6 linked regions of the Mus musculus genome follow. The protein of the gene in region 2 interacts with the protein of the main gene of each other region in a pairwise test. Links are inferred from orthologs where the notes say so. Each region holds a gene or a part of one and is shown on either strand. Other genes may lie near its edges. The genes, in order: Lzts2, Zmynd19, Tox4, Saxo1, Nab2 and Enox1.

The links.
Region 1: the proteins of Zmynd19 (region 2) and Lzts2 interact in binary tests that used the Homo sapiens proteins (3 or more experiments, as listed by UniProt). The two-hybrid records come from large-scale screens. The link is inferred for Mus musculus from reciprocal best matches to the Homo sapiens genes ZMYND19 and LZTS2.
Region 3: the proteins of Zmynd19 (region 2) and Tox4 interact in binary tests that used the Homo sapiens proteins (3 or more experiments, as listed by UniProt). The two-hybrid records come from large-scale screens. The link is inferred for Mus musculus from reciprocal best matches to the Homo sapiens genes ZMYND19 and TOX4.
Region 4: the proteins of Zmynd19 (region 2) and Saxo1 interact in binary tests that used the Homo sapiens proteins (3 or more experiments, as listed by UniProt). The two-hybrid records come from large-scale screens. The link is inferred for Mus musculus from reciprocal best matches to the Homo sapiens genes ZMYND19 and SAXO1.
Region 5: the proteins of Zmynd19 (region 2) and Nab2 interact in binary tests that used the Homo sapiens proteins (3 or more experiments, as listed by UniProt). The two-hybrid records come from large-scale screens. The link is inferred for Mus musculus from reciprocal best matches to the Homo sapiens genes ZMYND19 and NAB2.
Region 6: the proteins of Zmynd19 (region 2) and Enox1 interact in binary tests that used the Homo sapiens proteins (3 or more experiments, as listed by UniProt). The two-hybrid records come from large-scale screens. The link is inferred for Mus musculus from reciprocal best matches to the Homo sapiens genes ZMYND19 and ENOX1.

Annotation. Positions count from the first base shown.
Region 1 is NC_000085.6:45,020,340-45,025,174, reverse strand, and holds part of Lzts2 (leucine zipper putative tumor suppressor 2), read right to left. Parts: intron 3,789-4,835; 5' UTR 3,747-3,788; coding exon 3,339-3,746; intron 3,338-3,338; exon of another isoform or gene 2,905-3,337; intron 1,634-2,904; coding exon 971-1,633; intron 457-970; coding exon 196-456; intron 1-195. UniProt on the Homo sapiens protein: Negative regulator of katanin-mediated microtubule severing and release from the centrosome. Required for central spindle formation and the completion of cytokinesis.
Region 2 is NC_000068.7:24,948,603-24,952,576, reverse strand, and holds the start of Zmynd19 (zinc finger MYND domain-containing protein 19), read right to left. Parts: upstream 2,801-3,974; 5' UTR 2,581-2,800; coding exon 2,530-2,580; intron 2,420-2,529; exon of another isoform or gene 2,103-2,419; intron 1,105-2,102; coding exon 1,045-1,104; intron 1-1,044. UniProt on the Homo sapiens protein: May be involved as a regulatory molecule in GPR24/MCH-R1 signaling.
Region 3 is NC_000080.6:52,288,430-52,293,461, forward strand, and holds part of Tox4 (TOX high mobility group box family member 4), read left to right. Parts: intron 1-2,331; coding exon 2,332-2,412; intron 2,413-3,045; coding exon 3,046-3,789; intron 3,790-4,090; coding exon 4,091-4,254; intron 4,255-4,771; coding exon 4,772-4,832; 3' UTR 4,833-5,032. UniProt on the Homo sapiens protein: Transcription factor that modulates cell fate reprogramming from the somatic state to the pluripotent and neuronal fate. In liver, controls the expression of hormone-regulated gluconeogenic genes such as G6PC1 and PCK1.
Region 4 is NC_000070.6:86,477,610-86,482,709, reverse strand, and holds part of Saxo1 (stabilizer of axonemal microtubules 1), read left to right. Parts: intron 1-3,631; coding exon 3,632-3,837; intron 3,838-5,100. UniProt on the Homo sapiens protein: May play a role in the regulation of cilium length. Stabilizes microtubules at low temperature.
Region 5 is NC_000076.6:127,659,637-127,664,522, forward strand, and holds the end of Nab2 (NGFI-A-binding protein 2), read right to left. Parts: coding exon 4,629-4,886; intron 4,238-4,628; coding exon 4,104-4,237; intron 3,766-4,103; coding exon 3,714-3,765; intron 3,629-3,713; coding exon 3,496-3,628; intron 3,287-3,495; coding exon 3,095-3,286; intron 2,144-3,094; coding exon 2,034-2,143; 3' UTR 1,282-2,033; downstream 1-1,281. Other genes in the region: Stat6 (signal transducer and transcription activator 6), read left to right, coding at 1-81, 159-345. UniProt on the Homo sapiens protein: Acts as a transcriptional repressor for zinc finger transcription factors EGR1 and EGR2. Isoform 2 lacks repression ability.
Region 6 is NC_000080.6:77,154,769-77,160,498, forward strand, and holds the start of Enox1 (ecto-NOX disulfide-thiol exchanger 1), read left to right. Parts: upstream 1-1,994; 5' UTR 1,995-2,274; intron 2,275-5,730. UniProt on the Homo sapiens protein: Probably acts as a terminal oxidase of plasma electron transport from cytosolic NAD(P)H via hydroquinones to acceptors at the cell surface.

The sequences.
Region 1 (4,835 bases), on a different chromosome or scaffold from region 2:
ATTAACAGTACCCATCTAACAGAGAAGGAAACGCCACTAGCTGTGAGGTCACTAGATCACAACCGTGAGATCCAACAGAGGCACAAGGAATGCTCCAACCCTGACAAGGAAGGACAGACCCGGAACGGTAGCTACTGTGGGCCAGCTGTGCAGAGCGTGACCCCCTTCATCCTGCCCGGCGTCCATCATGCATACCTCCCATTTGGTCTCCTCCAGCCGTGGCCCGAGTTCCCGCTGCTCCCGTTCAAAAGTGGCACAGCGGCGCTCCAGCTGTTCCCGCTCCTGTAGCAGCTGGGCAAAGTCATCCTGCAACTGGCGCTTCTCTTGCTGCAGCTGGAACACCTGCAGCTGCAGCAGCTGTTGGGCCCGCTGGACGCGCTGCGTGGCCTGCTGCGCCTGGGCTGCACAGTCCTCCCCTCGCTCCCGTGGCCAGCGCCGCTGCCGTGCCCCGAATGCCTAGGGAAAGACTTCAGGCTAGAAATGGTCCGGTCCAGTCCCTCCGCCGCCGCCGCCGCCGCCGCCGCCGCCGCCGCCGCCCCCCTCCCCCCCCGATCATGAGCTCTACCATCTCCTGCTTGGGTAGCTCCCTGCCTGGCCTGAATCCAGTGAATTATGACAATTATAAAAGCAGGCACTTATATGGCCTTTCCTAGGTATCAGGTGTTAGTCTAAGGACTTTATCCTTTTTGTCTTATTTAATCTTCATCACCCCCTTAGGGAGTCACAGTTATCTCCATTTACACAGGGAGACTGCGGCCCGGTGAGATTGATTAACTTGCTCAAACCTAACACCCTACAAAACAGTGCTGGGTCCAATTCCTATATACCCTGCCTCCTCACCGCTTTGAAGGTTAAGCTAACCAACCTTGGGGGGGAGGGGTGTCACACCAGGAGTCTTGACCCTCTCCCTCCCCAACAGCAACGCTCTGGGTATTCAGCCCCACGGCCCCAGGACTGCCATTGGCCGCACCTGACACACTGTGGCCTCACTCTCATCCATACTGTCCCGCAGCTGCTGCAGCTCTGCCTCGCGGTCTCTGAGCTTCCCTTCCAGGACACAGTGTAGCAAGGCCTCATCCGAAGGGGGTGGAGGTGGTGGAGGGGGTGGAGAGCGGTCTCCACCAGAACTGCTGCCAGGGGAGGCCCGGGCACCACTGCCCAAGAGCCCCCCAGCTACACGACCCCCCAAGGAGCCCGTGCTTTTGCTGGAGGAGGACCGGCCACTGTCTGAATGGGAGGGCCCAGTAGGGACCCCTCGGGCTGGACCAGGCAGTGCCCCTCGGCCAGGGCCGTGGGAGGGCAGGTGCCCACCTGGGGAGTTGGTGGTTGGCTCGGCACCTCCAGTGCTGTAGGTGGGCAAGCTGGATAAAGAATTTCGGCCAGAGTCTGACAGCGTTCCTGAAGGGCAGCCACTGGCCCAACCACTCAGTGCCAAGGGTTTGTCAGCAGCAGAGGAGGAAGAGGAAGAGGAGGAGGAAGAGGCTGGCCCCCCAAACAGCTGTGTCAGGCTGCCCTGGCTCCCAGATAGCCCAGCAGCTCGAGGACCAAGGAAGCCGGGTAGGGATGGCGCCCCCCGAGGTTTGGGTAGCACTGGCTTGAAGGCTGTTGGCCGGATCAGGATCTTCTCCATATTCTGAAATGAGGCACCAGTTGACACTGTGAGGGTGATCTGCCCAGTCCCTTGCCCTTTTTAAAATGTTATTTCTGTTGCTTTTCTGAGACAGGGTTTTACTTTACTGGCCCGAGCTCACTCACTTTGTATCCCCAAGCTAGGCTTGATCACAAGCAAGGTTTCTCTGCCTTTTAAGATTACAGGGGTGGGTGGGGGGTGGGTGGGGGGTGGCTCAGCGGTTAAGAGCACTGACTGTTCTTCTGAAGGTCCTGAGTTCAAATCCCAGCAACCACATGGTGGCTCACAACCACCCGTAATGAGATCTGGTGCCCTCTTCTGGTGTGTTCAAAGACAGCTACAGTGTACTTATGTATAATAATAAATAAATCTTTAAAAACAAAACAAAAACAAACAAACAAAAAAAGATTACAGGGTGTGTGCCGGGCAGTGGTGGTGCACGCCTTTAATCTCAGCACTTGGGAGGCAGAGGCAGAGGCAGGCAGATTTCTGAGTTCGAGGCCAGCCTGGTCTACAGAGTGAGCTCCAGGACAGCCAGGATTATACAGAGAAACTCTGTCTCCAAAAACCAAAAACCAAACCAAACCAAACCAAACAAAAACCAAGATTACAGGTGTGTCATACCAAGCCCAGTTTGCTTGCTTGATCTTTCAAAACACTAACGTGTGTAAGTTTGTGTGTGTGTGTGGTGTATATGTATGTTTTATGTGCATGAGTGTGCACGTGTGCACACACTGGTGACTGGTGACTGCGTGTGAAGAGACCAAATGTCAAAGTCAGGTGTTTTCCTCAATTACTTTCCACCTAATTTGTTATACAGCCTCTGAACCTGGAGTTCACCAACCCAGCCAGCCTGACTGGCCAGCCAGCCCCAGGGATCTGCCTGTCTCTGCCCGTCAAGTGCTGAGATTCCAGTCCTTTGCCACAATGGCCAACTTCTTACAGGGTACTGGGGATCTGAACTCAGGTTCTTGTGTTTATGCAGCAAGCATCTCACCCACTTTGCTATCTCTTCAAGCCTCAAACCTTGATCTTTCAAAACTGTCACACTACTCGATTCCCCATACAGGGTCCTCAAGTCCTATAAATTAAAAACAACTCTTCCCTCTAGCAGCAAGTTTCTAATTGCCTACTTACATTAAGTAATTCAAAATGCTCATTTTTTAATCATAATAGCTACACAAACAAAACATGATCCTCTTCTCATATTAAAAACAAGGATGTAGAGGCCCATAGTAAAGTTAAAGGTTTTGCCCAAGGACACATACACACACCTCTGAATAATTGAAGCAACTAGGCTGGAGGTGGTAACAAATGCCTTTAATCCTAGCCCTCGGGAGGCAGAAGCAAGCAGATCTCTGTGAGTTCGAGGCCAGCCTGGTCTGCACAGTGAGTTCCAGGACAGCCAAGGCTACAGAGAGAAACCATGTCTCAAAAAACAAAATAAAACTAACTCAGACAATTACTATATTGTTCATTTGAGGTTGCTGGGTACTTTACTATGTATTAATTCTAACAGGAACCTACAAAGATTAGCCTCTAACCGTAACCATAAAGACACAGAAAACGGGGCTCAGACAGGTTATTTCACTGTCTGAGTGGTAAGACAGAACCCATATTCTTTGCTCTACTGACGCTTCCAAATTCTAGCTTCCCTGAGGGGCTCCTGGCTTCCCACCCAGGTCCTCCCAAAAGGGCTGCCCGTTACCTTCTCCAGCTTTCCAGAGACAGGGATGAGCTTTGGTGGGGGCCCACGGAGGTGGGCATTGTGTGCCTGATGTTCCCGGGGATCTTCAACATCACTGCTGGGGCTGGGAGGAGACTCTGTCCGGAAGTCCTCATTGACATAGGTAAAGCTATTGCCTGGGACAGCCTTCCTCGGTGGCACAGCCGGGCAGAGCGGTTCCTGTGCCTCGTAGCCACCCGGTAGCAGCCCATCCTGCTGGCGGAAGAAGGTGGGCCCAGGGACACCATGATGTCGTTGAGGAGCAGGTCCCCCGGGGCAGGGCCGGCCTGAGATAAGACTGCTCACGCTGCCCATTGCTGGAGTTTTGGGGGCAGTGGCTGTCTCACGTGCGGGCTCCAGAGGCACTGGCAGAGTGTGCACAATGGCCATGGTGGCAGAGGCTCAGGTCTGGCCAGGGGCCTCCGGGGCAACCTGTGAGCAGGGCATTGGTGTCAGAGTCCCTGCACCTTGAGGATCCTCCCCCTATAAGCCTTCTCCTGACCCCCTCCTCCAGATAGAACATTCCCCATTTAGGAAAAAGGCTTCCCTTCCAAGAACTGGCATGAACCTCGAGTTCCTCTGGGCCTCAACTCTAGTCTGGAACAAGGCTAAGGAATAACTTGACCACACAGAGAGGAAGGAATGGGAGATCTAAACATTTATACAGGGTTCCTTGGCAGAGAAGACCTAGTTTAAGCCCCAACCTGTATCCCCTATATAGCCAAAGACTCAGATTGGGCAGAGATCCCTAACTCTAGCTCCCAGTACAGGTCCCTACTCTCCTGGGACAGGTGGCCTCATTACTGGGCTGTTTGGGCAGAGGACACGTCAGGGATGCAATCAGCAACTCAGATGGTAATTAGGGAACAAAGAGTCAAAGCCAGGCGCTGTCCAGCCTCCCACCACTGGGCCTCAGTTTCTCCCAGACACTCAGGCGGCTTCGAGGGTGGAGCTGGCCAAACAGGAAACCTTACAGGTCTTAGGAATCCACAGGTGCCCTCTGGGGTCTCTCCTACCTCCCAGAGGTTGATGCAGGCTGTGCTTGTTTCCATGTCACTCTTAGCTTCTGCCATCACTCGGGACTAAGGGAGCCTACCCAGGCCCTGTCCCACTGCCAACCTTTATAAACCTTCCTGCTTTAGTTGATCTTCAGAATAACCCCTATGGAATTTGAGCAGGAGCCCATTACCACGTCTAGTAGGAGCTCAAGTAAGATGGCTGGCTCCGCCTCCCCTAGTCTTACTCCTTCCTGGAAAGAACAGCAAGCCTGCACCCAGAACGGAACTCCCGCCCAGTCCCAAGGCTGCCGATGACCAAGACTTAGGCATCTGCTGAAGTCATCACAGAGCAAAGGGGCCAAAAAGTGGACTGAGGATCCATGAGAAAGAAGAATGTGTGTGTGTGTGTATGTGTGTGTGTGTGTATGTGTGTGTGTGTGTACATTTACTTGTGGGTGTGAGTACATAGACAGGGTCATAA
Region 2 (3,974 bases):
AGCACAGAGCAGAGTGCATCTGTTGGAAAGCCTTTAACTCTCAGCATATTTCAAATCCAGCTCAGAAAAATGCCAGAAGTACAGATGATATCCTGCTCCTAGGACCCCAAAAGTACAGGGGTCACATCCTGATCAACAACTTGCAAAATACTGTGCACACCAACTAAATTTTCCTACCCTTAAAAAAGTCCAGAACGGACGACGGGGAGCTCAGCAGTTAAGACAACTAGCTGCTCTTTCAGAGGACCCTGGGCTTGATTCCCTACAGCCACCTGGTGGCTCACAACCATGTGATTCATGCACGGATATTCAGGTAAACATTAATACACATAAATAAACCCATGGGAAAATAATAATTGAGGGGGAAAATGCCCATGTTGGCTGTGATGCTCCACATCTGTAATCTTAGCACTCAGGTAATGGAGACAGGGAGATTTAAATATTCACAGCTGGCTTGGGGGAGCAAAACCTTGCCCCCACGCCCCACCAGGCCACCATCCAGAGATGGTAGGTAGTTCTTTACCAAGAACAATGAGGGCAGGATGGCCTCCATGGTTATAGTGCAAAGGCGAGAGGATAGCTACACCCAAGTGTGCTCATTTGATTTAACAGACACACAATCATCAACACAGCAAAGCAGTGTGCTTTCAAAGACTAGCAATCAGGGTGAAGAAGGTCACAACGGACTCTACCAGCCAGCAATGTCCAGGTTGTCACAACCTGCTCTGGAGCTAAAGATCATAAATATCAGTGGGAGGGCTGGTGAGATGGCTCAGTGGTTAAGAGTGCCGACTGCTCTTCCAAAGGTCCTGAGTTCAAATCCCAGCAACCACATGGTGGCTCACAACCATCTGTAATGAAATCTGACTCCCTCTTCTGGAGTGTCTGAAGACAGCTAAAGTGTACTTACATATGAATAAATAAATAAATATTTAAAAAAAAATAAAAAATAAAATAAATATCAGTGGGTATCTTCTTGTTCTCCCAGAACAAGGGAGGAAACTCATTTCTTATTCTTCCTGGGCAACAAACAGCAATGCTTACCTCAAAGGAGTAGCTCTCCACCAGTGGTATGTCTTGCTCATCGATCAGTGTGTATTTGGTCTGAAAAGAAATCATGTTTCAAAAATTACATATGAGATTCACCTATGAAACAATAACATCAGGAATCTATAATACTGTCCAATAAGAAAGAAAGGAGCCACATGTTAAGTGGGGCCTTGCTCAGGCTCATTTGGCACAGCCTACATCAAAGTGCAGTCCAAGCTGGGCATGGTGGCATCTTTAATCCTAACACTCAAAGGTAGTGGCAGACAGAACTCTGTGAGTTCCCGAACAGCCAGGACCACATAGTAAGATCCTGCCTCAAAAAAAGAAAGAAACGCCAGGCAGTGGTAGCGCACACCTTTAATCCCAGCTCTCGGAGGCAGAGGCAGGCAGATTTCTGAGTTCGAGGCCAGCCTGGTCTACAGAAGTGAGTTCCAGGACAGCCTGGGCTACAGAGAAACCCTGTCTCGAACCCCCCCCCCAAAAGGAAAAATAGTAAAAAGAAAGTAGATCCAGTATATTAAAGCAAAACATGACCACATGTACCAGCGTGGGTAATTAGGCTTCAGAGCCCATCTACACCTGATAGACCCTGACAAGTGGTATCCAGAAACTCGGTCAAACACAAGTCTAGTGGAATGGAGGAAGGGAATGGGATTAAGATAGATCATCCAGGTTCCAGGTGAGATGTTTGTTCAATAGGCTGGATATATTGCACGTGCTCACTGGATAGTCCTTCACCTGATTTCAAATACTCCTAATAAAAGCTTTAATGGCCCAAGGCTCCTGCAAATAATTTCTAAGTCATAAGCCTCCCATCCCTCTCTAGTTAGAAATAGAAAGTTCCAGAAGTCCTTTCCTAAGCTCAAGACAGGTTGCTTTTACTTTCCTGGAAGCTCTTCTAAGATCTCAGTTACCTGCCTCTACTTTCTGTCTGTTCCTCTCTCCCACTAGTAGCCGCCGCCACTGGTGGAACAGACTTAAGGTCCACAGTTCCTGAACAGCACCAAGAAGCCCAGCTTCATGAGGTGGGTGGTGGCCCAGGCGAGGAGTACCTGAGAGTCTTGGAGCCTACCAAGATCAGGACCCTGGCTCCTCGTCTGTGCTCTAGGGAAGCCTGCGACTCGAGTGACCGAACGTGGCCAACGTTAAAACGCTCCGCCAAAGGGGACTGCGGACCGGCCGCTCCGCTCGCCTCAGAGCTTCGGGCCGAGAGCGTCACGGCGGGAGGCCGCCGCGTTTAAACCGCAGGTGCAGCCCGGCCGCCGGAGCCGCGGCAGGTGCCCAGGGAGGCACAGGATGAACCCCAAGGAACTGTTCCGCGCCAGCCAGTCCCACACGAGTCCTGAGGCCGAGGGGCGCGCCCCCGGCCGCGGGGAAGATTCCCGCGAGGAAGGCGGCGCCGGACCAAGCAGGCCCGCGCAGCTGCTCGCCCTAGTGCCCCAGCCCGTGCAGGCCTCGCCGCCGCTCCACACCGCTCACCTTCCCGGCCACCCGGCCGAGCCGCACGATGCCCAATTTAAAGTCGGTCATGGCCAGGCCTGCGCTCTCGGCAGGCGGAGCCGCTCCCTCGGGAGGCTCCGGACCGGACCGGGCCGTAGCGAGGCCGCGGCACTCCGGGTCGGGCCGGTGCCGGAGTCAGGCCGGGCGGGCCGCGGGCGGACGAGGCTGGGCCGGGCTCGGGCCACCGCCGCCGCCTCGCGCCCGCCGGACCTGCCACGCGCCGCCGCCACCACCGTGCGCACCCCAGCGAGCGAAGCAGAGGGCGGGGCACGACCGGGACACACCCCCCACCGGCGGGGGCCGACCAATCGCGAGACGCGCCCTTCGCCGGTCGTGGCGCGCCGCGGCCAAGTGACCAATGGGACTAGGAAACAGACGCAGGCGCAGTGAAAAAGAACCAAGTGCGGGGGGAGGGGCGAGCCGGGGGCGGCGCCTGCGCGGCGGCCGGCGCAACGTCAATTTCGCGGGAAGCTTTGTGCGCGCTGCAGAGACCGCTGAGGCGCGGGAGTGAGCGCAGTAGGTCGCAGCTTCTTCCTGAGACTAGCTGCTTGCGTTCGCGCCTCTGAGTTGTGTACAGTGTAGAACGTATGTCCTTACCCGGTGGTTACCGGTTAGCAGGATGCTGAGTGAGTGGTCCAGGTCTCCAGAATCAACCTGCGGGGCAGCGACGAGTACCTACAGGGTGTTTCCTGGAACCCATGCACCTTAGGTCTCCTAAGACCTTCCGGAAGAAGCCGGAGACTGGGGTGGATATCGGTCTCTGGAAAAGGGAGACCTGGTAGTCTGGAATCCTGACATAGCTGACAAGGCCTAGAGTTCGAACTCAGGGCTAGGCTCCACCTGCTTCAAGATGATCCCAGGCATCAACGGATCTGCATACGTTTCTACCTCTCATTGTTCCATTTTGAAATTACCAGGAGCAAAGGATTGTCGAGTGAAGCTAGAACTTCTCTCAGCCCTTGGTGCATAATATTATCCCCAGGTGCTTTGCTGCTCAAACGCACCTGTTCCATTACCCGCTTCAGATTTGTGATGATTAAGAGAAAGCTTTTTAGTAAGAGGTGGAATGCTTAGGATGATGCAAAGTGCGTTCCCTGGTGATAAAACCATTTGTCTTATTGCATATTCCTCTAAAACATTAATTCAACACATCCCCATGACTTGAAGAGAGACCTGTTAGATCAAAGAGATCCCCCTTGTAGAGGGAATCAACCACACCTCATGCCCTATTGTATACATTTCTTAAGCTGATATGAATGAGTATGAGGTAGCCACAAGGTAGGGTTAGATTAGATTCTAAATTATGGCTTTACAAACTATTTAGCCTTCACTAATCTGCCAAACTCAAAAATAGCTACACCCTGAGCTCAGAAGCTATTCCCTTTAAGGGAAGAAGACATAATAGATACAAATAGACTTTTCTT
Region 3 (5,032 bases), on a different chromosome or scaffold from region 2:
CAGATGGTGTGAGCCACAATGTGGTTGCTGGGAATTGAACTCAGGATCTCTGGAAGAGCAGTCAATGCTCTTAACTGCTAAGCCATCTCTCCAGCCCATGAGGGCCATTCTTAATTCAAATCACCACACATCTTTCCCTGTCGTAGAGCTCTTTGTTAATGGTATTAATACATTTGCTTTCCATACAGGGGTTCTCTGTGTAACAGCCCTGGCTATCCTGGAACTTACTCTGTAGAGCAGGCTAGCCTCAAACTCACAGAGATCCACCTGCCTCTACCTCCTGAGTGCTGGGATTCAAGGTGTGAGCCACCACTGCCTGGCTCACATATTCTTTATCTTAGAAGTTTCAGGGAAAAAAATCATTTTAATTTAGTTATTGTTGTTGTGCTGGGTAGCAAACCCAAGGCTTTATACTTGCTAAATGTTTACTCTCCTACAGAGCTACCTCTAACCTAAAATCCCATTATCAAACTATAAGTGGGACTGCAAATTAGCGCTCATTGGGTGAAGGCTTCTGATGACCTTGAACCCAACATTCTTCACGGTGACAGGGAAGAATCAATTTGTCCTCTGACCTCTGCATGCACACCCAAAAACATGCACATGTACACACGAATAAATAATAAAATTCCACTATAAAAAGACTGTGTATCTTCCCTAATCTGTAAAATAACCATCATTTTCCTTTTACTAATGGTGAACTCTGGCAGGTGTGGTGGCGCGCGCCTTTAATCCCAGCACTTGGGAGGCAGAGGCAGGTGAATTTCTGAGTTTGAGGCCAGCCTGGTCTACAAAGTGAATTTCAGGACAGCCAGGGCCACACAGAGAAACCCTGTCTCGAAAAAAAGAAAGGGAGGGATGGAGAGAGGGAGGGAGGGAGGGAGGGAGGGAGGGAGGGAGGGAGAGAAGGAAAGAGGAGAGGGGGAGAAAGAGAAAAGAGAAAGAAGAGAAGAGAAAAGAAAGAAAAGGTCTAAAGATGAACTATGGGGTTCCCTACCCAGTTAAGGTCATACAGCTTCTAAATGATAAGGTTGGGCAGTCTTGTTCCCTTAACTTTAAATTTCATGTGACAGTGAGCAATTGTGCCTTATCCCTTGTGTCTTCAGCTGTTGAGTTTAGCTTTTCAAAGCTTGGAAATTCCATGTACCATCCAATAGTGCCTAATCCCTCTTTTGTCTTTAACTGTTTAGTTTTTAGGTTAACTTTCCCGAGCCTCGTGTTTTTTTTCTAATTGTAAAGTTAAAATATTTCTTGGTAAGTTGCATGTTGAAACTATCCCTCAAAGTTTCAGGTACAGTTTAGCTTGAAAACTAACTATATATATAATATATATATGTTTAGAGAGAGAGAGAGAATAGAATAGAATATAGAATATACATATATTCTCCCTAAATTTAAACAGAATTAAAAAAATTGAACTGGTAATAATGACATGTATGTGTAGTCCCAGTTATACTGGGGAGGGGAGGGCAGGGTAGAAAACACCTTGGCCCCAGCGATTTGGGATCAACAACATACTGAGACACACATACACCATCTCTTTAGGAAAAAGAAACTGACATGGTAGGATACTACTGTGGTTCTTAGCATTTATGAGGCAGAGAGAGGATCATGAGTTTCAAGGCTAGCTTATGGAATGTGTGTGTTGGTGGGGGTGGAAGGTATGAATCATCAAGTCGTAAACTGAAGATAGCTGTAATTATCATTACCCTATGTGCCTGTATTTTCTGTCAAAGCAGTCCTCAGTACCTAAAACAAAAAGCTGATTTTGTTTTAACCAAATGGTGGAGTATGGCTGGCTAAGCTGGCAGTTACTTCTGTCTGTTAGTTGCTGTGTTGTTATTCCTTGTAGCCTTTCATGTGTTTTTTTGGGTTGTTTGCTTTGTTTTTTAAGACAAGGTTTCTTGTGTAGTCCTGGCTGTCCTGGAACTGACTTTGTAGCCCAGGCTGGATGCAGATTCATAGAGATCTATTGCCTCTTGTGTTTTAAATAGTGTGTTATATTCTAGTGATCAAACAAGTCACAGAGGTAGCCCAGATTCAGTAAAAGAAATAGGCTTCCGCTTTTGGTGTCAGAAGAGACATGCAAGAGGAAAGGACTCTTGAGGTCATCTTTGACAGCTTACACATTTCCTAAGGGAAACCTTTCTGAGTTGGGCGGTATTGAGCTAAGTATATTACTGATCTTACAATTTGCAAACGGTTTTATGCTTTATATGGCAGTGGACATGGAGCTGTTCACCTCTGTGAGTGGTTGAACTGAGTTCTGATGCACAGTACTTACCAGACTTACCAGTGGTTCATTTGAAACAAACACTGTCTTTCCTGTAGGTGTACAAGCGGAAGACTGAGGCTGCCAAGAAAGAGTATCTCAAGGCACTAGCTGCTTATAAAGACAACCAGGAATGCCAGGTATGGTTACAATAAACAGATGCCTTAAGTCATTTTTTTTTCCAATTGTTATAGGTAAATCTCACACACACACACACACACACACACACACACACACACACACACACACACAGAGCCAGGAAACCAAAATCGTGGTGAGGCTGTGAGAGTTAAAAGCACTGCTGTTCTTGGGAAGGATATTAATTCTGTACCCAATACTCAACATGTTGACTTAGGACTATCTGTAACTCCAGTTCCTTAAGATCCAGTGACCTCTTATGACCTCCTGAAGCATACATATGGTGCACATATGTGCAGGTAAATACTACACATACCAGGACAGCCAGGGCTATACAGAGAAACCCTGTCTCGAACCCCACCACCACCCAAAAAATACTACACATACACATAAAAAATAAACCTGTATAACCTATTACTGTATAGTGTTAAATTTTAGAGCTTCCTCACCCAGTATTTCAATCATAAGTTCTGTAAATAAGTCTTTTAGTTTATCCACTACTTCCAGTGTTTACGTAAGAAAGTCCTTATCTTTCTATGACATCTTTTTTTTTTTTTTGCTGTAATGAAAATGAATGTGTACTAGAGTAGAGAGTAAATTACTTGTCGCCTTTTTGTCTTGGTCTTTGTTTGTAGGCTACTGTGGAAACAGTGGAATTAGATCCTGTGCCACAGTCACAGACTCCTTCCCCACCTCCTGTGACTGCTGCTGACCCAGCATCTCCAGCACCAGCCTCAACGGAGTCTCCTGCTTTGCCCCCTTGCATCATAGTGAATTCCACGCTTTCATCTTACGTGGCAAACCAAGCCTCTTCTGGGCCTGGAGGTCAGCCCAATATTACCAAGTTGATTATTACCAAACAGATGTTGCCTTCTTCTATCACCATGTCCCAAGGTGGAATGGTTACTGTTATCCCAGCCACAGTGGTTACCTCCCGTGGGCTCCAGGTAGGCCAAACAAGTACAGCTACTATTCAGCCAAGCCAGCAGGCCCAGATTGTCACCCGGTCAGTGTTGCAGGCAGCTGCAGCTGCTGCTGCTTCCATGCAACTGCCTCCACCCCGACTACAGCCTCCTCCGTTGCAACAGATGCCTCAGCCCCCAACTCAACAGCAAGTAACCATTCTACAGCAACCCCCTCCACTTCAGGCCATGCAGCAACCTCCACCTCAGAAAGTTAGAATCAACTTACAGCAGCAGCCACCACCTCTGCAGAGCAAGATTGTGCCTCCACCCACTCTGAAAATACAGACTACTGTGGTCCCTCCAACTGTAGAAAGCAGTCCTGAGCAGCCTATGAACAGCAGCCCCGAGGCCCACACAGTAGAGGCAACCTCTCCTGAGACAATCTGTGAAATGATCGCAGATGTAGTTCCTGAGGTAAAGCCTTTGCTCTTTGTTTTTTGAGATAGGGTCTTATGTTGGCCAGGACATATGGACTATGTAGCCAAAGATAGCCTTGAACCTGATTCTCCTGCCTCTGCATGTCAGCTTCACTTTATAAAGTTACTTTAAAATGAAAATATTAAGAATTCATTCTGCTTCCTAGAGCTGTAAGCTTGGTTATAAATGAGAACAAGAAATCACCTTTTTCTGAAACTCCTTATATAAGGGGGTGTGGCAGATGTTTTGACTAGGTAGTAGCACTCTAATCCATCCTTGTATTGCTCCCTGTTTTAAGGTGGAGTCTCCTTCTCAGATGGATGTTGAATTGGTGAGTGGCTCCCCTGTGGCACTGTCACCTCAGCCTCGATGTGTGAGGTCTGGTTGTGAGAACCCTCCTGTTGTCAGTAAGGACTGGGACAACGAGTACTGCAGCAATGAGTGTGTGGTGAAGCACTGCAGGTGAGTTTAACAGTCCTTATAAATCAAGAGGTAGTGAAGTGAAACTGTTGGGGAGCATGGTACCCGTACCCGTGTGGACTGAGCATGACCTTATTAGGCAGAGCCACTTGACATGTGTGGGTGGGTAGGTATCTGATTAGAGATGCTCCTAGATGTTCAATTGCTTAGAGATGAGGATGTAGCTCAACTGACAACTGCTTGCCTGGCATGGGTAAGGTCCTGATTTCAATTACCAGTGTCAAAGAATTTGGTGAGGGATAGGTAAGGGGGAAAGTAGCAGAGTAAATGCTAAGTGTAGAGAAGGTGAGTAGTAAGTGAAAACTTTGCCCTTCTACCAAAATATCCCAGGGAATTACCTATATCCGTGAAAGGGCATATGTGTCCTCTACGAGGTGGATTGGCACAGTCTACCACATCTGACTTTTAGGCTACTTGATGATGTTATACTTTGGAGATGTAGGGAAATATTTGGGTATGGTTTTGCTATAATAAGTTTGTATGTATCTTTCTCTCTTAGGGATGTATTCTTGGCCTGGGTGGCCTCTAGAAATCCAAACTCTGTGGTGTTTGTGAAGTAGCCTTCGTCTTCTCCAAGCCTTGAAGATTCATCTGCTGAACACGAGTCCAAAAGCCTGTTTTTTTGTTTTGTTTTGTTGGTTTTCCAGACAGGGTTTCTCTATGTAGCCCTGGCTGTCCTGGAACTCATTTTGTAGACCAGGCTGGCCTCGAACTCAGAAATCCACCTGCTCTGCCTCCCAAGTGCTGGGATTAAAGGCGT
Region 4 (5,100 bases), on a different chromosome or scaffold from region 2:
CTGCCAGAGCCTGACCAATACAGATGTGGATGCTCTCAGCCAACCATCGGACTGAGCACGGGGACACCAGTGGAGAAGTTAGGGGAAGGACTATAGGAGCTGAAGGGGTTTGCAACCCCATAGGAAGAACAACAATGTCAACCAACCAGACCCCCACAGAGCTCCCAGGGATTAAACAACCAACCAAAGAGTACACCTGGAGGGACTCATGGCTTCAGCTGTGTGTGTATATAGCAGAGGATGGCCTTGTCGGGCATCAATAGGAGGAGAGGCCCTTGGTCCTGTGAAAGCCTGATGCTTAGGGGAATTTAGGGGAATGGTAGGGTGGTGAGGCTGGTGGGGGAGCACCCTCATAGAAGCAGGGGTGGGGGATCGGGATGGGATAGGGGATTTGTGGAGGGGAAACTGGGAAGGGGGAGAACATTTGAAATGTAAATAAAATAACCAATTAAAAATTATAAAATATTTTATTTTTCTTTAAAATATGGGAGATACTGGGGCATGTTTAAATACTGCCAGAAAGGAGACAGCTGGGGAAAGATAGAGATGCAGGGTAGGAGATGGTCTGTGGATGAAGAGCTCAAGCAGGTGATTTAGGGAAAGGGTGACAGTCTGCTTTGGCAAATAGGAAGCCACCCTTCACCCCCGTAAGACAGAGTCCATTTTAGCATGATTGATTCCCTGGCGGCTACTATAATACCTTTTGAAATTTGTATAAATATTCAATTATTTTTAAAAAAGTAAACTTTGTTTGGCTCCTGTGAGAATTCTCCATTCTCCACTTCCAGGCAAATGGTTTTCGTTAGCAATTCTGTAATTTCCCCTTTCCTTTTTCTCTGTTCATGCCCAACACCTTTCTTTAGCATAGCCAAATGATTTGAAATGAAGTTGCTATAACTTCCCCAGCAGGGCCACTTTAACCAGTACTTAATTCTAGTTTAACTCTTGGCTTTCCATGCTGGGTAGCTTTTATAGCTACCTACCTAAAGAAAACTTAGATCTTTGACCTTTTTTTTTTTTTTTTTTCTTTATTCAGAATCACAGCGAGGTTAAACACTCGGGAATGCACCACAGGAAGAGAGAAGCCATTGAATGTTGAAAAACAAGTGGTTAAGTTTAAGCAATTTCTGTATAGAATAAAATAACTTTTTTTTTTTCTCCATGAACTTGAAGGATGTAAGATTATGTGACACTGGGGACAGGCATTTAGGCTGCGGCTAATGATAGCTTTCGGTGAATGTTCCCAACATAAAAATCTAACGAGGAAGCCCATACATTCTGATAAAATTCATTTGCAAGCCATGGTGACTATTTTTGGGCCAGATAAAAATGGATCAAACTTCAAACTTAAAAATGATCCTTTCCCCTGAAGGTGAGAGGCTTCTCCTCCCCATAATGATTTGCCTTCTCTAGAGCTGGTAAATGAATTCAAATAAAGATGCACATTCATATCTGGATTTGAATCTTTTGTCCGGAAGGAGATTAAGTAATGAATCCATTTCCTGAACTTAGCATGTTTTGTGCGTCTGCTTCTGTCTTTGAGCAGCGACTTGAGGCTAGCCCCTGAGCTGGTGAGTTTGTGAGCATTATTGCTTAGCAGCTTTCTGAGGGTGAACAGCAGATGGAGCATTGAGCCTGCTTCAGCTGTTAGTCTGCAGGGCTGAATACCCTTGGAAAATGGCATCTTGGAGGAGAAGTAAGCTTTTTAGGGTAGTCATAGAGCTCTGGGGTGGGAGGCCTCAGCATGCAAGCTTGGACAACTAGCTTTGCTCTTCAATGATGACTTTTGGTACCTTCTGCTATACCTCAGAACTGCAGAGGGACCACAGCCTGGTTAGCCATCACTGAACATAGATAAGGTGGCCTCAAAATGCCACGTTAGTCCTGGGAGTGGAGAGAAACTTCAGCTCCTGTTAGGTATTTTCTCTCCAGAAGGTGAACTTTAGAAGGAAGATAACTCTCAGGTTAGCTGATTTTCAGATGGGGTTTTAGCCATTTTCATTGGTCCGTACAGCTCATGGAGGCTTAGTGTCTCCTAGTGTCTTGCTGCAATTGGTTGAGTTGTGAGAAGTCACAACCTTAATCTAAGAAGGTGAAAAGTGTGAACCTGACCCTTGGTTTCTTATTAGCTTCCTGTCGGCCTGTTTATTCCATAACTCCCACCTTTATAATTGACTTCCAGATGCTGGGGTCCCTCAGCGTCCCTTTGCTGTTCACCCACAGTGAGGCTGCTAGGAAGGCAGGTCAGGCTGCAGTTGTTCTTGCTACTAGGATATATTTTAAGATGTACCAAGAGGGTGTTATAGGAGTTCAGCCGAAGCATCTCCCGTTTCCCACTTGCAGTCCCAAGGAGACTAATTCTTATGCTTCCCCAGTCCTTCATCCCACCAAGCATGCTCAGGACCTGCTTTGGGTTTATGGACAACCCCGTGTATAATTCATGCAAGACAGTTTACAGTGGAGCATGTTACCCTTGCTACTCAAGCATGGCTCGGTAATGCTGCCCCAGGTTTCAGCCTGGAAATAGGTTTTATTAGTGTTTAGCCTAATGTTTCCTGTCTGGAATTCTCTCCCTTCCATTGACAGAGCTGTTTTCTCAAGTACCTTTAAGGGGAAAACTCTGCTTTTCCCTTGTCCTGTTTGGCTAAATGGGATTCAGGAAGAAGCAGTTAGTCTTTGGAGGAACTGGTCTTATGGAGAAATAAGCAGTAGAGACTGTTGCAGTGGGCAGGAATGCCCGGCTCAGCTGGGTATAGCCGGCATGATGGGCAGGTGCCACCTGGGCCTGTCACAGATGTGCAATGATTTGGGAAGGGATTACTTTGGCGAACAGTGTTCTGTCTTTTCCGTCTTACTGTTTTGTTCCTCTTTCACATAATGGGGGCACTGACAGTAGATAGCAAAGAAGTGAAGACTTTGTGCCTCGATGACATTTTTTCTCTTCTGGGTTTTCTGTAAGGCTGAGTAGAGGCGATAAATATTAGTAGAAGAAGTTTCTGAGAACACAGAGAAAGGTGAGTGTATCTGAGAAACGGGTGCTAACCGATGCCAGCCCCACATGAGGGGTTGGATGGAAGATGGGTAGGAGGTTCAGTACAGAAGACCCTTCCTTCTCAGTGAGCCCCGTGGTTGACATGTGTTATAGGTAGGGGTGGGGAATAAGTCAGGGGACGGGTGTGGGACTACTTATAAATTGCATGGGTGAGCTGGGTTTAGTCTGGAAGACATTTAAAGATACTGGGCAAGCTGATCTGACTTTTTTTCACCGTTTACTCTGGACACACCAAAGCAAATTGGAGCAGAAGGAGGAAGATAGGGGGAAGGTTGTCACGTGGCCCAAGTAAAAAAGGGCAAGGGTCTGGACCAAAGAGGAAAGGAAAACCAATAAGGTAGAGGGGCTGCTCCTGGTGAGTGCTCTTGGTGGCTTTGAAGGGTGGGGTCAAGGATGACACCCGAGGGGTCAAACATGGGAAAAAAGTCAATTGTAGTGACATGTTCCATAGTAGAAGAGAGAAAAATAGAAGGTAAGGAGATAGGGTAGAATGAAATATTTGTTAATACGAGCCAAGGGGACAACACTGTCTTTTTTCTGAGCAAGGATCCCAATGACTTGTGTTTATTCTTTTCCTAGGAGAGATTTTGGGCTTCACAAAATGTTACCGGTGACATTCCACCAGCCTGACACATATGTTCCGAGTCAAGAGACTATGGATTTACTCACAACGTATAAACACGATTTTAACTACCTCCCTACCTGTCCAGTTGGCCTCATCAAACCTCGGGACAGTAAATTTCCAAATGGTGACAAGATAATGCAATATCTGCCTACCTACAAAGGTGAGAGAAGGATTAACAAGAGGTCAGGCCAGGGCTACAGACCCACCAAGACATGGGTATATGCACATCACCTTAGGGCAAAGGTCACTACCTGCAGGCTAAATCTAGCTAACAGCCTACTTTTGTATAGATGGGAAGCTAAGAATGGCTTTATAATTTTCAATAACTGAAAAAGTTATTTCAAGACATGTTGAAAATTACAATATTTGAAGTTCACCGTTGGCGGGTACATTATGTTGGCCCAGGCTGGCCTTGAACTCGTGATCCTCCTGCCTCTGCCTCCTTCAGCAAATCCTACCGGCGTGCGCCACCACTACCGGCAAGGGTACATTATGTTGGAACGTGGCCATATCCATTCTTTTATGCATCTGCTCTAACTGCTTCTATGTGACAGTGGCAAAGCTGGGTGATCATGGCCGAGGCTCCACGGGTGGCAGAAATGCACAGTATCTTGACCTTTTAGAATATTCTTTATGATCCTTGTTTGACTTGCCTTCTGTTTGATTCTTACAATGGGGGATCTGTTCAAATTTAAGCTAATTAGGAATCTACAATTTCCTTGTTTTCATCCAACTACAAGAAATTTGAATATAACACACAGAAAGTGAATGCAGTATGGTTACATAGATCAGAGCATTTTTACTGTACACACAGTGCTTGGCCAAAACTATACCACATCTACAGAAGTAGAACACGGCCATTGTGGGTTTTTTCCATGCTGGGTATTGAAGCCAGGTCCTCCCAAATGCCAGACAAATTAACTGAGCTACATTTCTTGCCCCATTATACCATACCATAGCAATTTAATACCATAAATTAGTTTTGCCAGTTTAAAATTTTTATGTTCAGTTGATTTACTCTTTTGAAAATATCTGTATTTTAAATTGACACATAATAATTGTACCCATTTATAGGGCATGAAGTGGCATTTTAATAATATGTGCACTGTATAAAGTTTTCAAAAATGTATTTACTTTTAATTTATGTATTTTACTTACTTTTGATTTGTGTATATGTGTGTATCTGTGTTGAGTATACGTTATGTATAGGTATGCCCATGGAGTCCAGACAGGCTTTGTATCTTTCAGAATTGGTGTTACAGGTAGTTGTATTGCACGGATGCTAGGAACTGAACCATGTCCTCTGAAAGAACATCTCTCTAGCTCCCACTTTTAAGATTTATTATTATTTTTCTGGTATATTTTTTTCTAAGTGTGCTATGCCAGAAACACAGACATATGTGCGTCTCTTCACAGTGCTAAA
Region 5 (4,886 bases), on a different chromosome or scaffold from region 2:
ACCCATGCTTTGCTCAGATGTGACTATGGTAGAGGACAGCTGCCTAACTCAGCCTGTGGGAGGTTTCCCCCAAGGCACCTGGTGAGTAGCAACCCGGGAGTGAGGGCTGAGACAATGGGTGCTGTGCCTGCTCCCCTACTTCTCCCTCCTCTTTGCAGGGTCAGTGAAGACATGTACCCTCCCCTGATGCCTCCCACTGAACAGGACCTCACCAAGCTTCTCCTGGAGAACCAAGGGGAGGCAGGAGGGTCCTTAGGAAGCCAGCCCCTCCTGCAACCATCTCCTTATGGGCAATCAGGGATCTCACTGTCCCACCTGGACCTAAGGACCAACCCCAGCTGGTGATCCCAGCTGGAGAAGCCCAGAAACAAAGCCTCTTCTGTCTCTATGGACCAGCTCTGGACACCTGCTCATGCAGGTGCCTTCCGTCTCAACTGTTCCTTGGTCAAGAGAAAAGAACTGGCTGGGAGACCATGTGGTGTATGGAACTGCTGTGCTCTGTCCTTCCTGCCATATCAGGGCCCCCCTTTTCCAGCACTGGGTGCAAAGGGATGAGTGGGGTGTTAATGCTCGAATGTGATACAACTGTATCACAACACACACGCACACACACATACACACACACCAGAACTGTGTTGAGCCAGGGCCTGGGACTCAACATACAGAAACATAGAGACATTGTGCCAAAGACAGAGGGCATATAGGCCTAGGGCATTGAAGCTGGGCTCAGGTGACTCTGGGAGGGAGAAAAAGGAAAAAGTGGGTATACAGTCACTGGTGTGAGTTCTACCCAGATTTTAAAAAACAAGACTCCAAAGCTCCAAATTCTTGCAAAAAAAGATGCCTAGTGACATTTGAGACTGCATTCTAAGAGCTAAGCTTGTGTATAGCTGTACCAATGTTTACCCAAGACATGTTAACCTATAGAAGTCACACATCACTGTATGACCGCACAGAACATGTATCTTCTGCTTTTGCCAGTGTGACCTTAACATATCTGAAAGGCTGAGACATTGTATAAGACAGCAACCCAGTATCATTTGGGGAGTAACTATGTGGCTGTGACATGCATAAAGCTCTAGCCTGGGTAACTTGATGCTTCCAGTGTTTCCTAGAGCCTGGGATATAAGTAGGGATGCAGACCTCTCTGTGTAAACTCCCTGGGCGTTGAGGCCCTCAACTGCTGTCTCTTGTACTTTTCTGTCCACTGCCAGCTCTGCCCCCCTCCCCCGGCTCTTACCCAGTCCTTTTTCCCTCACTGGAGGGGAAGGGGGCCATGGATCCTAAGCCATAAAATAAATTTTATTCCAAAATAACAAAATAAATAATCTACTGTACACAATCTGAAAAGAAAGACACGCTAAGTGTTCGACAGGTGCTGCAGTCCTGCCGGCTGAGGAGGCCCAGGGTCCAACCCAGGCCTCTAAGGGGCTGGTGGAGGGAACTTCGGGGCACCCTCCCACACAGTGCTGAGAGAAAGGTCTGCGGGGAGGGGGGAGATAAGAACGGGTGGGCAAACTGCAGCACTTGTTAAATTAAAGAAACAAACTAGAAGCACGAAAAATGGGGATGGGGAGGGGAGACCCAGTTTTCCCAAGCCCCCAGTCTCAGAGTGAAGGTTCCACTGTAAGTCGCTAGACCTTCCTGGGGAAGTTCTTTCTCCGTGTCCAAGTGAAGTAGTTCAGCTGCTCACACCACTGCTGGCCACCTGGAGAATATGTGTGTGTGTGTGTGTGTGTGTGTGTGTGTGTGTGTGTGTGTGTGGTATGAGAGAAAGGAGAGCCCCAGCAGGCTGGAGGCAAAGTCCGTGCCCCTAAGCCGGGTGAGGGCACACCTTGCACCGTCCTTGTGTCCTCTGGCCAGGCCCCTGCCTGTTATTGCTTGAAGCCCCATAGTCCTGTGCCCATGGGGCGGATGGGAGGCAGAGGGCAGCAGAAGGATCCTTCTAGGGTAGTGGCGAGTGCAAGGATGGAGAATGTGGGGGTCTAAGTGAGCCAGAAGTCTGGGTCCTGGGTCTGAGACTTCCCCCACTTTCACTGCCGGCTGGCTTCTGCCTCCACTTTAACGCTGCTCCTGCGGCCCTCCACCAGAGCAGGATGAGGTCCCGGGGCAGGGCAGCGGTCCAGCAACCCCTCCTCGAACTCTGTAGGAAAGAGGTGTAGGTTGGTTAGAACACTGGGTTGGAGGCTGAGCAGAAGCGTTGTTATGAGGCCAGGCACAGAAAAATGCGAAGACAGCTCCATTTATTGAATTACTGCCTCCTGCCCACTGCATGTGTATGGGGGTTCCGTACCCAAGCGTATGCAGCTCCCCCTCCTAGTTTGGTTGTGTGTAGCTCTCTGTCTCTGTGTGTCTCTCTTCCCTGTCTCGCCCGCCTCTGCTCTGCTGGAATTTCTGGTTCTGTCAGGAGCTGCGGGGGCGGCTTGGCTCTGACCTCTCTCCCTCCCCCTCCCCCTTCCCAGGCCCAGCCACCCCCCTCCACTCACCTCGGGTCCCCTCCCAGGTCTCGCCCTCCCTATAAGTGCTCCCCGAGTTTTTGGTAGCCAAATCAGGGGAAACACAGGAAGCTAGACTCCCAGCTCCTCCCTCAAGAGAAGCACCCCCTTCAGTCCCCGCCCCCACTTCCCACCCACGCACAGTTTAAAAATACCAAGCCAGGGTTGGTGGCTTTGCCTGCGGCGTCACTCTCAGCCCAGCGGCTGCCCGGCCCTCTCCTTTCCTATGCACACATAAAGTGCCCAGTTTGGGCTCCTTGGTTTCCAAGCTGGGGAACCCTATCCCCACAACTCCCAGCGATTCCATCCCCTGCATTAGGTAGCTCTAGCCAGGCCTCCCTTACTGCTGTCTCCCCTGTTCACCTTCACCCCTCATTCTGTTCTCTGCTCCTTGGTCAAAGATCCCCACCTGAATCAGACCCTCCCACTTGGAAATAACCCAGTAGTAGCTTGCCCTGTTCAAGGTCTGGCTAGCTGGAGCTCCTCCTACTGTTCTGACAGCTGTATCCCTCTTCCTCCCTCTGGTCCTAGAAAATGAGGACCCACATGGGGGCCTGAGTAACTGGGGTGTTTAGGGACAGCACTGCTGGCTGCCTCACCTGCGAGAGGCGGCTTCGCAGGCACACAGGGGCTGAGGCGGCCCACACGATCATGGGAGACGAGGCGGGCGAGCCGCAGCCCCTCATCCATCAGTGTCTGCTGCAAGATGTGGCGGCTCCATAGCCCATGCGCTGGCAATGCCAGGGGCAGGTCAGCAGGGGGCGGCGTCAGCCTTGGGCACGACCCCACAGCTGTGGGCATGGGCACTGGTCAGGTCAGGGGCTGCTGCCAACAATACCCACCCTCAACCGACAGTCATTCCCATAGGCTCCTCTGTCCCCATCCAGCCAGGCCTCCCAACCCTGTTCCAGGCAGTTGACACCTGGCTCATTCCTGCAATCCACCCGCCCCACTTCCACCGCCTCCCAAAGCAGAGAAAGGTGCTCTAATGCACACTCACCCTGCAAGTGGCCATCCAGGCTCTCCCCAGACAGACTGGCGCTGTCCTCCTCTAGGCTGGGGCGGTATGGGGGTGCATAGGACTCAGGGCCTGGAGGAGGCTGCTGGATTTCATTGTGACTCTGTTCTCCAACCTGTGGATGCCCAAAATTTGGAAAATAAGGACTCACCAAGGCAGTGGTTGGGGCAGGCTGCCGTTCCCTGCCCCCCAAACTCTACCTCTTGTTTCAGTTTCTTCAGTGGTGGGCCTCCCAATTCTTCAGAGTGAAGCCTGCAAAAAAAACGGAGAAAAAAAAATGAGTGGAATTAGGAAGGGCCCCACAACTCCACAACCCACGGGGTGCACAATCCGGCCAGGAAACATGCAGTACTTAAAACTGCAGGAAGAAGCTGGTTGGACAGGAGTTGGAAGTCCAATCATTATGGGGGGCGGGGGGGTTGGGAACAGAGAGCAAGCTTCAGACAAGTTTAAGTTGAGTTGGCAAGGTGAAGACATGCAGGTGGGTGGGAAGCAGGCCTAGAGCCGCCTGAGCCACAAGTGGGGAGAGCCAAGTCCTTGGCAGGATTCCAACCAAATGGCCCTGGGGAAGAGGGGGGAGGGGGTCTCACCTGGATCCCTTCAAGGAAGAAAGATAGGTGCTCTCTCGGGCTACTTGTCGGGACAGTGAGAAGAGTTCTACCCTTCGCAGTAAAAGAGTGTTGTCCCTCATGCAGAACTGGGCAGCAGCCTCGTTGATGGTCAGCTGTGGCAAGAGGACAGCCAATGTGAGTCCTTGACTTTCCTACTGTTTTTTTTCCCCTTTACCACCACTGGGAGGTCCATCCAAAGACTGTCTGCTTTAAATAATACCCAGGAACTGCCTGTACTTAAAGACAGGGGTGGGGATATTGTCCCTATCAGGGCCTCCTGCACCTAGGATGTGAGCAGTGCGGGGCTCACTGCTATTATCTCAGCTTCCCTTTGGGTGACAAGAACGTAAAGCAGCAGCAGGGGTTGGGTATGTGTGAGTGTGGGGAAGGAGCTTGGGTGGTCGTGGGGACAGTCATACAGAGGTGGAAGACGGAAGAAGTCTCAGAGGCAAGTGAACTGAGCCCCAGGAGTGAAGGGCAGCCTTGAGGACCCGGGGTCCTCACCTCATGCAAGCTAAGCTGTTTGCCCTCCCGCCTTTTGGAGTCCAGGCGGCCGTAGATGACGCTGTACTTCCGGATCTCCTCTTCCTTCTGGGCGTCATGATCGTCCATCTCAAAGATGTGCCCCACGCTCCGCGCCAGCTTCTTATTCAGCTTCAACAGGGATGCGATCTCTCCAGTGTCACCCCTGGGGAAACTCCGGAAGATCCTCTCCACACTCTCCACCACCATTCGCACCATCTCTGGTTCCAGGCGGTCTGG
Region 6 (5,730 bases), on a different chromosome or scaffold from region 2:
GGCAAATGAACAGAATTTTATAAACATTTGAAAATTGTCTTGGAAGACTGTCTTACATTGGTGGTCTAGTTTGCCTATCGGCGGTCCAGTCTGCATATCTGCTCCCAAGTTTTAGAAATTCTTTTCAAGGCAGCGTTTTAGATATCTAAGTTTCTCATTTAACAAAACAAGAGTTCCAAGATGATAGCCAATGTCTCTTCAGAAGACTGTAAATGAAATGACAGTGAAGTCATTGGAAGGGACCCCCTAAGAGAAAACATAAAATGGATTTATTTGGAGGCACCCAGATAAATCCTTTTTAATTCTCACTTTATTTCAGTTATAGTTCACAGCTGTGGTATCATGGCTGGCAAGAGAGGCAGCTCATTGGAAGAGCCCGAGTTCAAAGGAATTGAAATTGAGCGTGGAATGTGAAATCGAGAACTCTTGCTTCTAAGAAGATGACTGGAAATACTGAGATTGGAGGAAGCCACCCTGAAGCAGCAGCAGAATTAGCAAGCCCCAGTGACCTTGTAACGTATGGGCCAGTGTTTAGTGCCTAGTGTTCCTGACAAGAGAAAAGCTTGCTTCTGACCAGCATCTAGAGGCAGACAGATTTAACACCTCCTTTCCTATCCTTTTCTGTAGAAGGGAGTGTAGAAACTGCCAAGTATCTGCAACTCGGTGACTTGGACCTTTTTTGAGAAGGTTAGGTGTCCCCAGGATCTTTATCCTTTGCTCAGGCAGATTATACCACCAAGTTCCTTTCTGAGTGCTCTTTTCGTGAATCTTTTGGTAAATTTGCACAATGGGTCAGTCTTCTCCTATGTTCCTTCTTTGCACTGGGGCCTGGCAGCCCGAGGGGAAAAATAGTCTTTCACACAGGGAACTGGCATACGTTTAAATCAAGCAAGCCTAGTGGGATGGTAATGACATTCCCACCATCTGAGTTTCTGCCTTCAGGATATGTGAAGCTAGAAAACAATGTCATTCATTCAACATTTATAGAGAACACACAGTGTACAGGGGCGCTGTGCAAGTCTTGGAGGGCAGGCAAAAGTGCAAACCCTAACCCGCTCTTGAGGATTCCTGCCAAGAAGAGCATGACAACTGCAACACGGACCTTACACTCCTGGAAGGAATTCTTGGGTGAATAAAGTCTGCTTATTTAAAGTAAGCATGGAAAACTATACCAACAGCTCGATGTACCTTTCAGGAATAGGACAGATAAGTGGGATTTAGTCATAATCTCTAAGGTGTTAGAGCGCTCGGTGATGAAGGTGTTCTCAGCTTGCTTTGAGTTACTTGTGTATCGGGACAGTTGGCAGAATCCTAACAAAGAGAGGGCCAATACTTCTATATGGAGGTGGCTAACTTTGAGGGAAAGTGGCTTCCAAGGAGAACAAAAAGGTAACATTTTCATCTGGAGCGATCCCAACCACCACTGAGGCATCCTAATACCCTGGGTAAAACCTCTGTGCCCAGGCTCAACCTTAGACAGCGCCGGGTTGAGCAGTGCATCTCAGCATCCTGGAGTCCACTGCACGCACCGAGTTCCCCCCCGCACCCCGGTCGCCTGCCTGGCGCCTTCAAGGTCGCCATGGCAACCATGGGGTACCAAGACCAGTCCCTGAACGTCCAGCCTAGAAATTCAAACTGGCAGCAGTGGCACGAGCGAGTCGCCTCAGCTCCTCCCCCGAGGGAATAGCGCGATCCTCGGCCGTGGGCACCACTTGTGCAGCATCAGTGGCAGAGCGCTCCTCCGGCTCCAGATCGGCCGGGATCCGGAGCTCGAGCGCGCCACGCCGCCTCTCATCTGGTTTCTCCGCCGGGCCAGTCGCTTCTTCGGGCCAGACAGGCCGCCCATCCTTTCACCGCTTTACGGATTTCCGGGGGCGACGAATTTTGCCTCGGTCCCTACGAGCATCTCTCCGCTTCGCTCCCCCGCCCCTCGCGACTCCCCCCACTCCTGGGCGCGCGCGCGCACACTCACTCACACTCTCAGGCGCGCGTGCGCACGCCCGCGCGCCCCGAGCCGCGGAGTCTCCAGCGCCCCTGAGCAGATCCCACTCTCCCGGGCGCTGCTACTCACACAGGCTTCCAGCCGCCACGGGGCGTCCTCTGTCTGCGGCAGCAGCGGCGGCGCGAGCGGAGGCTGCAGTCTAGCCGGGTCTGGCTGCTCGGCGCCCTGGACAGAGTCCGGCAGAAGCGCGATCGGGAGGAGACGCCGAGGCAAGGAGGAGCCGCGCCGCGCCCGGCGCTCGCTTGCCTCGAATCCCCGCACCGCGGCCCCAGGTAAGCGGCTCCGCGGCCCGCAGCATCCCCGGGGCGTAGGGACTCGCCGCCCATGGGGGGTTCCCGGTCCCGCCCCCGTCGTGGCCGGGGAACAAGGCACCGAGGGGAGTGGGCGAGGGGGGAGGGGAGCGGAGCTGGAGGTGAGGCTGGAAGGCAGCGGTGTGGGGGAGCCCCCTGCGCCCTTCCCCGACGCTCCTCGGGCTCCCGCACTTTTATGAGCCGGGGGTGCTCAGCGCCCCACACAGATGTACTCCGCTCTTTTTTATCGCTGGCCGGCTAGAGTCCGCTCGGGCTCCGCGCCTACCACGCACCAACCGCCTCCCCTGCACCTTGGACAGCGCACCCCGCCGCTCGCCTCCCGGGGACCGCACCCGGGACCCTGTCCTGCCCGCGCAGCCCTCCGGTTGTTCCGTTCTTCCCATAGTGTCCTCCTCCTGTCTTGCATAGCATCTCCCTGCCTTGGCGTTCTCTACTCTGGCGCGGGCCAGAAACTTTCCTCTCTGCCCGATCTGCGCGAGGTACTATTGTTGTTATTTGTGTCTTTCCTTCTCGCTGGGAACTGGACACAAGGACAGGTCTTCCTCTGCGGGCGATCGCCTGCCTTTCCCAGTCCAAGACCGCACTGGGCAGCCGGACTTGGACACCCGGCCGGCGCCTCGGCAGCTGGACGCCCGCGGGTTCCCCGCCTCTCTGGACACGTGCACTCCTCCCACGGACGCGGCCCCTCCCGGACCACCCTATGTCCTACCCCTGCATGGCCACGGCCACCCCATAGGTTGGACACCCGGGATCGCGGGCTCTGATTGGTTGATCTCATAACCCCGCCTCCTTGGAGGGGGTGGTTCTGGAGTGTTGTGGTTGTCATCCCGCAGCGAGCACATGGGGGAAGTGGGGTCGACAGGTGGGGAAACCCAGCTCTATGGCATACACATCCCAGTGTATGTAATCCGGCTAGTATCATTCCTTCAAATTGCACATTGTGCTTTACTCCCCCTTCCGCAGTCTTCCACTGTTATAACATTTTAAAAAATTTAAATTTTGTTGAGATTATGTTTGTTCAGTGGTAGTGGTTTTTAAAAGTAGCTTTAGGAGAATGCAGGAAACGAATGCACGAGAGGAGATTCATGGCAAACTGGGCTGCATGTTTGAGTTTGGTCCTTTGGAGGAAGTAGTGAAGGGTCATTAAGGGATCTGAAGAAGGTGAAGAAAGGAGAAGGGAAATGGATTGTTGGCAGAGACCCTGGTGCTTACGAACCCAAGGAAGGAGGTGGTGGGTCTTTTGTAGGTGGCGATGTGAAGAAGTCCCTGGGAGCTCTAGTGGGAGGCAGCTGCGGTCTGCTGAAGACTGCTCTCTGGAAAAGTAGTAATTTTGTCTAGTACTTAGGTTGTGATTAACACACTTTGCTTTTGTTTTGCTAGCGTTGCACTCTTGATAGGAGACTTATAGTAATAATGTCCGTGCACATAATGGATATTGATTATTCCGCTTTCTTGTGATATGCAGATTTGCAAATGGTAATGAATTTCATCCCTCTAGAGGGAAGCATTAGTTAAAGTGCTTCTGAAATATGGTGAGACAAGACGGATGGGCACTGTGTGAAGTCTAGAGACTGTCCTGACATTGTGTAGTGCCATTCCAGAAATACGTACAAATTACTTTTATTTCCCTTCATTTCTAAGCCTGATTGCCGCCGGCATTCTCGAGCTTTAATTCCTTCAGACTGTTTTGATGTCATGTCTGAACACTTTAAGGATATTGTCATTCTTATCTTTGTAACCTTGTCAATGCAAAGCAAGTGGCAAGGGATGCAGGATAATGTTGACAACTTTATATTGAGCACACTGTGTGTTATTTTATTTGTAAGCTGGTGGAATGTGCAAAAGGAACATAGCATGGCTGTAACTACCCAGGGACCCATATCCAAACAAAGTGGAGAGTCACGTGAGGCTATTCCAGGGAGTGCAATTCAATTCTTTTTAAGATGAATAAATTTTAAAGATTCCTATGTGTAAATGGTAACACTAGTTGAAAGGTCTTTTAACACACTTATGGTCTGGTAGCACATATTAAGTTAAATGGCTTATTTAATATGTGAGATGGTTCAAAGGAGATGACAAAGCCTCCCAATCTTCTATTATATAAGTAGGAAGAAGAGCTTTGCTCTCTGGAAGGCTTCCTAATCAAGGAACAGGGTTTGACACATCTGACACCTCTGAAGTCGTTGCTGTTGCTGAGAAAATGATTCTGACTGTGTTTTTATTTCTCTAGTTCATGCTCTGGTTTTCCCACATGGATTTAGATGCTGGCTGCAGGCCTACGAAATGTATATGTGTGTAGACTGGAAAAGAATGTGTGCAATAGCACAAACATATATGGGTATGTGCAAAATATATATTTATGTCTGCACACAGTTATAAACTGGATGCATATGATTTAGGGTACCTGCAGCGTATTTATATTCATATATATATTCTTGTCGGCCTCGGAAATTTTGCTCATCTCTTCTTGTCCGAAAGGTGGCCCTGTTTTAAACTGTAAAAGCATTATCACCAGTAGAATTGGCCAATAGATCACAGAAACAGACAATAGTATTTTGTTGCCTGGCAACCACCTACTGTGAATGAAAAACAGAGCAGTGACAGCTGCATGCACATCCTGGTCCCCAGCCCATGGTCCCCAGCCCATGGTCCTCAGCCCAGGCATCGAAGCCCTCCACTTGACATACATCTGCAAGTTTCACTTCAGACAGGCAAACCTGTCTCTTTAAAAAAAAATGTTAGTAACACAATTTTGAATTTTTTGGTTGTAATAAGAACTGTGTGGTGATTGTTGAGGAAATGAAGCGCTCATTTCTATTGCCCCTTTTAAAGCCTGGTGTAAACAGAAAAACCAGAGTGGGAGGGAGGTTTCTAACCTTCACAGAAGCCATTAAGCATCCCGAGCACACACTGACTACCGTTAGGTGCTCTTAGGATGTTATAAAAGCTTGAGTTAGCTCTGTGATACCTAAGTAGAGGGCAGCCTTTTACTGCTAAAAGCCAAGTCGAGAGTGATGCTTTCCAGCTTAACTATTTAATTCCAAGCATTCCGGAGGCACGGGAGGGATACAGCAGCCTGGTGACAGCCCATAGGACCGCTTCCCTGGGATACCCTGGGATGGAATTCCTTGGTGACTGTCTCCTACTTTCTCCTCCACATTATTCTCTCTTCGTTCCCTTTTTCCCCCATTGGAACTTGTAGCTGGGATTGAATCAGGATACTTTGAAAGTACATAGTAATTACAAGTGAAGATCAATACGGACATACTAGGCTAGAGTGTGGACTGAGGTGTGCTGCACACAGTTTATTTTGCATTCGGCCCCATGAACCCACCTCCTTCCCGCCACCTGCAAGCTCTGTGCCTTGCTAGCTGTTTATAGTTTAGAACAATCTTTAATACTCTCTTATTCCGTGTG